Tribolium castaneum: one gene and its partner. The protein of the gene in region 2 purifies or fractionates together with the protein of the main gene of each other region. This does not show direct contact. Links are inferred from orthologs where the notes say so. Each region holds a gene or a part of one and is shown on either strand. Other genes may lie near its edges.

Region 1 (4,321 bases), on a different chromosome or scaffold from region 2:
GTTGTCTTGGTCTTCCTCCTCTTCCTCATCCTCCTCCTCTGATTCGGACTCGAGCTCGCCCCAGAGGGTGCGATCCACGGAAGGGTCCTCACCAATGTCCTAAACATTGATATTTGAACAAAATTCAATAAAACAATATTATAAAATACTTACATCTATGTTGGTAACATTTGTTCCAAACACATCACCGTACAATGGTTTTCCATTTTCGTCCACCGGTGGTTTTCCCCACCCACCGGCATGGTACCCAAAGGCACAACCATCAGGGATGGGGGCATTTAATCCCGGAATTTTCAAGTTGGGGTAGCTGGGTGGGGGACCATAACGTTGCATTGCAATCAACCATGGTGGGGGTACTTTATTAGCGTTAGGGCCCACAGGCATTCCTAAGGCCGTTCTTAATTCTTCTGATAAATCTCCAGGCTTTTTTTCCTTCAATCTGGTTTCAAACTCTTTGCCCTCGTAATAAAGGTCCCCATGGATGGTCATTTTGGGTTTAGTTTGCCACCTAACAATAACAATGAGATTATAAAAAAAATTCTAAATAAACAGCTGTCTATCTTTTTCAATTATTCCCAATCTCTACGAATACACAATTACAAACAATAGCAATTTTAGCTTTTATCAAAAATAAAAAAAACGTACTTGAAAAATGCGTCGTGTAATTTTTGATAATCAATATCGATTTTTCCAAGTTTGGGTCTGGTCTTTTCCCGCATTTTAGCTTTGAGTGTTTTGGATTCATCCTTATCTTGCAATGACGCACGCATTTCCATGATTCCAGTCCTTTTAATGAAATCTGGAAGATTAAAAGGTGGTTTCTCTATACCACGTTTACCTTGCAAGTACTTTCGTTTGAAACACCAATGACGTGGTACCTGAAAAACACATTATTCAGCCAATTGCTAACTCCGCATATATTTTCATCTGCTTTATTATTATGAAAAATCTGTTAAGTTTGTTCCAAAACATCACTTTTTAATAAAAAATTCAAATCCTTGCTTCTTATGCGTTCAGTAAAATGTTTAGTTTGGAACAAAGTTCGTCTAAAGAAAATAATAATTAATAATGCTACAGAATTCTATATGTGCGCAAAATTAAGAGTTTTCAAATTGGAAGTAGTGACGAAAATTATTTTTCCAAAGCTTACGACTTAATTCTATTCTTAATAATAATTTAATAAAAGGTATTCTCTTTTTTTATTAATTGTTAGTAGTTCCTGAATTTTGTTAACATTTTCGTGTTATAATAAAATTGTTACAAAGCATAATTTTTTGTGTCCCATCCGTAACTAATTATTTATAACAACTTTTAGAAGTGGCAAAATGAATTTAAATTGTTAATCCATCTTTTTTTTTTAATAAGCCATTTTTAAAATAATAGTTATGTGCCGTCCGTAATCATGGAATGGCTGCATTACTTTTAATTTTTGAGAAAATTATAATCGTTACCTGAACGGTATTTCTGTGAGCTTTCAATTGGACCAACAATTTTGGGTCCCTGGCTGTTACATCGTGCATTTCTACAACGTCTGGTCTACTGACTAGTTGTTTAAGCTCGGCGACGCTAAGTCGCGTCAATTTTTTAAGCTTTCTTTTGGACATTTTTGACTTATCGTCAAGCTTTTTCTGAAAAAAAAATAGATACATATTTTTTATTCATAATGTAATACAACACTTACGTCGTCCCCATCTTCCATTTCTTCCTGAAAGTGATCTCCTATGCTATTTAACATTGATTTACTTGACAATGATGTTGGCGTTGCCAGAACTGGGGGTGGGATATCATGCTTTTGATCAGTTATTTTAAACACGTCAAAAATGCTATAAAACTGCCGGTATTGTGGAGCCAGTTCAAGAAGACTAATCGTCTCTTGGACGTACCTTTAATTAAACTCATAACAATTTTGTCAAACAAATAGAAAAAACACCTACTCAACTTCCACATCTGTATTCCCATCCTCTTGCCCATCCTTTTTCTCCTCCTCTTCAGCCGCTTTATTCTGTTCATTCTCCCTGTTTTTCTTGTTCTTCTTCCTTTTCTTCTTCTTTTTATTCTTACTGATTTTGGTGGTCTCTTTCACCTGACTCTCTTCTTCATTTTCAACCACGGGTTCCTAAAAAAACAATCGTTATAACTATATTCATACAAAAAATTAAAAAAGCTACAATATTGTCATCTTTCTCCCAAAGCGCCTCTCTAGGAGTCTGCGGCTGTTGAACTACTGTTTCCGTTTCTTCTCGTTCTAGTTCACGCGCTCTCTGATTTTTTAACGCCAACACCTCTTCCAACACTTGAGGTAAAACAACTTCAGTTGGTGGCGTCTCCATCATCTGATCAGGAGGATCCACTTTTAGGGATAGCAATGAGGGGAGTTGTTTTTCACCACCAACACCTGAAATAGTCCAATGCGATATAAACAAACTGGTTGAAAACAATCAATTACCATGTTCACCAGCCCACCCTTGCATACCTGACCCAAACATCCCTTCCTGGTGGGGCACAGGGTGCTCCGGGACACCCTCTTGTAGCTGATCCGGATTCATTTGTCAGTAGAATCAGTGCTTGTTGCAGCCGTAAGCTGAAAGGAGACGGGATTATGGAATTGTTCTAACACTAAAAAGCACTTTTCTCAATTTGATATAACCTCTTTCTCATACTAATTTCTTAAAAAATGTTTGAATCAAAGCAAGAAGCGAACTTACTATAACAGATAGTCTGTTAAATTTTATCTACAATGAGGAAAAACCGCAAACTTTTAATATTATTAATAATTTATTGCGGCATTCAGCAACGTTTCGGTCGACATTTTTGTTTGGAATTAGAGCGAATGCGACCGTAATCGCGACAGCTCGATTTCCTGCAAAAGCGAAAACATTTCCCAAAATTTTCATACAGAATAAATCAAATGTAGTAGTTATTTATCCAGTTAGTTACAACTTTCTCTATTAACATCTTGTAAATACAATAATTTATAAATATTTAATCAATTTATTTTTCAAACAAGATGCCAATCTAATTTGGACCAATCACGCATCTCAATCTCAAATGTCAGATTCAAAAAAACGGTTTTGTTGTCGGTTTGTCATTTGTGTGCCTTGTTTACTGTAAAGTTACTATAAAAAGCGAATAATTGGATTTAACACAACGTTAAAGGTAAAAACCGAGTTTTTTTGATACGAAAATTACATAAAAATTGTTTTATAGCTTGCATTAAAATGTCAGTGAGGTCCAGCAGACGTTTAAATAAAAAACTAAATCCACCTGAAATGGAAAGCACCAGTGGCCCCTTAAGCAGTGCCAAAGCAACAAGAAGTGGACGAAAAGTCAGAAAAACGAACGATTTGCTTTTCTTCAGTTTTAATGCTTCTGCAGTGGAAAAAGAAGACGAAAATATTAAGCCAACGTCGTCAAAGCATAATAAACAGAATTTGCCTCGTTTGGAGTTCGATGAGAGCGGGAAAAGTGACAAAGGAAGCCCTTTTTTGTTCAAGGAAGTTCAAAAAATCTCGCCGCCACCTGTACCAAAAAATAAAAGAAAAATCGTCAAAGCTAAGAGAGTTCTTAGGAGTACCAAGCAATGTGAACTGGAAGACAAGTGCAATGATGAGACATTAGATCTCACTACAAAAAGTTTGAAGGAGAAATCTTCCGAAAATTCTGTAAATCTTGTGAGTGATGGTGAGGGAAGTTCACGTTTCATCACAGTCACGGAGAAAATGGCTCAAGATGGACACGTGAAAAAAGAAAATAAACATGGCAAGACACCAAAGGTCAAAAGACAGAGTGGGAAAGGAGAGTTTTCTTCGTTTAGAGACATTGAAGATTTTAAATCTCTTGAAGAACCGTCAGAAAATTGCAAGAGCGTAAATTTGAGCCCTTTAAATGAAGATGAGGGAAGTTCAAGCTACATTGAAGTCAACGAGAAGAGTACACAAGATGGACGTATTACAGAGAAAAATAGTCCTAGCAATGGTACTTTCCCCAATTTTGTTGCTTCAAGCAAGACACCAAAGACCAAAAAACAGAATTTGTCTTCTTTGGAAGCGGACGAAAGTGGGAAAGGAAAGTTTTCTTCGTTTAGGGAAATTGAAGATTCAAAATCTTTTGAAAATTGCAAGTCTGTAAACTTGAGTCCTGTGAATGAAGATGAGGGAAGTTCAAGCTACATTGAAGTGCAGGAAAAGACTACTACAGAGAAGATCAGTCCTACCATTGATTTGCCCAAATTTAATTTTGTTGCTTCAACGGCGAAAAAAGAAAAAAAATCTGAAACATCAAAGGACAAAAAACAAAATGTGCCTGTCATTGAGTTGGACGA
Region 2 (4,299 bases):
CAGGGCAGTTGCCCGTATCCAACCAATATAGTTGCGCTCTCAAGCGTTTCCTACAGAGCTACCTTAGTCAGAACGACTCGAGCAAAACAAACCACAACATTGTGGTGTTCTGTTCTGTTCAATGTCTGTTATTTCAAGCATTTATTAGCTATATTACTAGCGGTTTTGCTCGAAAATCGTTCCGAATAACACGAACCCGCGTGACAACAGACCAATAAACAGGTAGCAGTTGATAAAGTAAAATTCATGGACAACAAACCACTTTCATTCTTCATTAAACAAAATCAACATTAAGATGCATCTAATAAACATTTTAAAAAATATTGTTTTGCACAAGCGTTTGAATTATTGATTACGGAGGTTTCGGAAATTGGCTGAGTCGTATATTCAACAAAAAATTTAGTTCATTAATAACGATAATGGTTTTTTGCTCCGACTATTATTCGGCATCAACTACCACAAAATCAAAAATATAATTTATTACTTATTAGTCTCCAAGCATAAATACTGTGGTAAAATCGTTTAAAAATGGGAACCTTTAATTCTTTTGAGGTTTGTTATGTGGCAAGTAGTGAAAGTACATTCAACGCTGCCAATTAAATAAACCAAAACAGTGAAAATGAAAAAATTATTTTGAATGAGTCTAATCGGAATAAATAACCAAATCGACGTTTAAAGCAAGGGCTGAGGGCCTGCTTCAGAAAAACGTTAATAAAATAAATACCTGACAACATCGCCGTAATGGACAGTATCTCATTGGAACAGTTGTGGTTGCAGCTGGCAATGAGCATTTTCGCCAATTGTGGATCGAGCGGAAACTCGGCCATAACCGCCCCCAAATCGGTGAGATTTCCATCATCATCCAACGCCGCCAAATAATTCAACAATTCCAAGGCCCTCATCAAGGTTTCAGGCGCCGGTGGATCCATGAAGTCAAAATGAACCAAATCATCAATTCCCAGTTTCTTCAATTGTAAAACGACCGAACCCAAATTCGATCGTAAAATTTCTGGATAGGTGTTGTCTTGCATTTCGTTCTTGTATGCTTTTTCGGTGTAAAGTCGGAAACATTTCCCCGGCCGAGTCCTTCCAGCTCTTCCGGCACGCTGCTGTGCTGAGGCTTTACTAATCGGCGAGACCAATAACGACTCGACACGAATTCGAGGATTGTAGACTTTTTGTTTCGCAAATCCGGGATCTATCACAAACACGACACCGTCTATAGTCAAGGAAGTCTCCGCAATGTTGGTCGAGACGACAACTTTGCGTCCGATCGCCCCATTGGCCTTATTAGGGGGCGCCTCCTCGAAAATACGTTGCTGCAAATTCGGAGGCAGCGTCGAATACAACGGGATACATTTTAGTTCGCCCACTTCGGGGCCCAGATTATCAATTTCGCGTTTGATTCGTTTGCAAGCAACTTCGATTTCCTCCTGACCGGTCAAAAATAGGAGAATATCGCCGGCTATTTCCTCACACATGTGGATTTGGATGACGGTACGGATGGCGGCTTCGAGATAATCGCGTTCCGGTTCGGGAGTATAGAAAATTTCTACTGGATGCGTACGACCGGGGACGTTCATTAAGGGAGCGTTATCGAAATATTGCTGGAATTTGCCAGCGTCTAGAGTCGCCGACATAATAACTAATTTCAAGTCGGAGCGTTGTTTAATAACTTCTTTTAAAACACCCATCAGAATGTCGGTGGCAAGGGTGCGCTCGTGGGCTTCGTCGAGCAAAATGCACTGGTAGGCGTCCAGCATTGGGTCGCTCATGCCCTCACGGAGCAACATACCGTCGGTCATGTACCTATTAAATCACACAGTTGTAATTTTTATGCTTTAACTTAATTTAACTTAACTGCTTTTGTAAATATATGATAAACGTAATAAAAAGCTCGAAAACGACAATTTTTTTTTTATTTCAAACCCAATTTACTGACTTTTCTGTCTGATTCATTAAAATTTCTCAAAAAAAAAACAATAATTTAAGTCCAAAAGAGAAAAAGAGTATTTTGAAAATAATAAAACCTCAGAAAACAAGGTTTAATAGAATTCGGCGAGGAAAAAACTAGTTTTTCACAAGGAATAATCATAATTGGGGAAGAAGACAAGAGTTTCTGGAAAATATTTATAGCCCCTCTTACTTGAGGATAGTTTTGGCCGACGAGCAGTCCTCGAACCGAATGCTGTAGCCCACCTCTTGCCCCAAGGCGACGTCCATTTCCTCTGACACTCTCTGGGCCACAGACATGGCAGCCACCCTCCTGGGCTGGGTGCAGCACACCCCCTTTTTCCCGACCGACCTGGCGAATTCAACGCACCACTGTGGAATTTGCGTCGTTTTCCCCGACCCTGTCTCGCCAACCAGCACAATGCACTGGTTTTCGGCGAGCAAACGCATGAAATCGTTGCGGTATTCAAAGACAGGAAGCGTGATGCGTTTGCGATACAACTCATGGTACTTATTGGTGTACGGCAAACCGGTGTGCGGGTTGATTGAGGCGTTGGTTACTTGCGGGGTGTTCGTTACTGCAGTGCTAATCCCACGTTCTTCCCTGAAATATCACGAGGCGGAAAATGTGGCTGAGTGACATTTGTGGTTACTCACCTTTTCTTCTTTATAAACGGATCCAACACTTCGATTCTCCTTTTAGACATTGTTAGATAGACTACGGCTAATAGTAACAAGCTCTCGAATTGTCTACTTGTTAACAAATAAAAATAAATTGCATTAAAGTTTGTTTGGAAATAAAACTACGACCACGACTCCATGCAACTTTGCACGGTCGATAGAGCAGAGCGCTGCCGTTTTATTGACGTTTATTTGCATGGCGACCGAAAGCGGGAGTTTAAATTTTTTGGAAAATTAAGGGGAAAAATGAAACCACGAAATTATTGTACACCGTATAACAATTTATTAATTAAACTTTATAACAATAATATAATTTGGTTTTTAGTCAGTCAAAATTATGTGTACTGCGCGAATATTGCTGATTCTGGGGAGAAACATATTAATTGCAACTTTTTAAACCGACTTCATGTAAAATTTTTCGCATAAGTTGTTTTATGGGACATGCCTCTGATGCGAAAATAGTAGTAATGTAATTAATTGTGCCCTGAATTTAAAATATATTTTAATTAATTAATACATTTATAGTACAGCACGTATGAAATTTGTTAATCCTATCGTCACTTTTTAATTAAAATTTTACACAGTTACATGTTTATGAAGTGTGTTAGTGCCGTCTGGCCATCTTGTTATACAAAGAATAGTAAAAAATTAATACAGTTTAAGAAATCTTAAGTCTATTACCACATTTAACCGTATCATTTAAAAAGCTCATTTTGTTGGCAAATCAGTAGTGATGGTTGGCTCTTGTGATTGTAGTTCTCGATATGCATGTGATGTATTGCATATTTGGTAATTTACGGACATTGCTCTTTTGCTGACTGAACGCAATAACAGATAACAGAAAGAAATCGATTTTAAGACATCTACTGTTACGATATATTTCACTATATCATATAATAATCGTATATTTTGATTAACATTTCCTAGATATTTATTTAACTAAACTAAATAAAAGCCGAACTTATCTCCTAATATCTACAACGATCAAAACGAAATTTTAGTCCAACAGTTTCTATTTTAAACAGTAATTCGATGAAGTCTATTCACTTTAACCACTTAAGGAAGAACAAGGATCTTAAGCTAAACTGATGTAAATACGGATAAATTTACAATTCTTGTACCTTACTCACAAGTTCAAACACACACGTGCTTTGAACTTGTGCAGTGTTACTGAACTACGGGAAAAATCGAATATCATTCTGAAGTACTTCCAGATTTTCGAATATTCACTTTTACAATAAATTTACGAGACCGCGTGTGTAATAAAGGGTGTAAAATTTCGTTACAATTTTGTGGTTCGTGTACGCTGACACAAAAATAATTTCAAGTTTTTTGTACTATTTCTCAAAAGCCAATAATAATGTGACGTTCTTTTATCAAAAATATTTGTCGTTTGGGAGTAAATTATGTTAAAATTTACATTTACGTCTTACAGTTTATTAATTCATAAAGAAAAGGCAAAGAGGCACTTCAGAATTAAATAAATTCAGGAAGAGAATCAGACACCTGTGCATGTAGACCCACGATTTTATTCTCTTAGCACTTTAAATTAGGCGGACAGACCCGGTCTGTTGATTGGGGTATTATACGATCGAAACAACTTCAGATCAAAATTATTTCAATCATAGGCTCGTTACGTACCTAATTACAGTCACATTCACAACT

What was found. Proteins that work in one complex are often made in the same cells at the same time.
Region 1: the proteins of Dhx15 (region 2) and Sf3b2 purify together in Homo sapiens (co-immunoprecipitation; 3 studies listed by BioGRID and IntAct, with this or other methods). This does not show direct contact. The link is inferred for Tribolium castaneum from reciprocal best matches to the Homo sapiens genes DHX15 and SF3B2.

Annotation. Positions count from the first base shown.
Region 1 is NC_087396.1:14,198,262-14,202,582, forward strand, and holds the start of Sf3b2 (splicing factor 3B subunit 2), read right to left. Parts: upstream 2,853-4,321; 5' UTR 2,706-2,852; intron 2,582-2,705; 5' UTR 2,547-2,581; coding exon 2,447-2,546; intron 2,396-2,446; coding exon 2,169-2,395; intron 2,117-2,168; coding exon 1,935-2,116; intron 1,884-1,934; coding exon 1,682-1,883; intron 1,629-1,681; coding exon 1,452-1,628; intron 879-1,451; coding exon 646-878; intron 509-645; coding exon 154-508; intron 100-153; coding exon 1-99. Other genes in the region: uncharacterized protein LOC103313715, read left to right, coding at 3,219-4,321. UniProt on the Homo sapiens protein: Component of the 17S U2 SnRNP complex of the spliceosome, a large ribonucleoprotein complex that removes introns from transcribed pre-mRNAs.
Region 2 is NC_087397.1:4,419,765-4,424,063, reverse strand, and holds the start of Dhx15 (putative pre-mRNA-splicing factor ATP-dependent RNA helicase PRP1), read right to left. Parts: upstream 2,828-4,299; 5' UTR 2,661-2,827; coding exon 2,611-2,660; intron 2,558-2,610; coding exon 2,147-2,557; intron 1,810-2,146; coding exon 725-1,809; intron 1-724.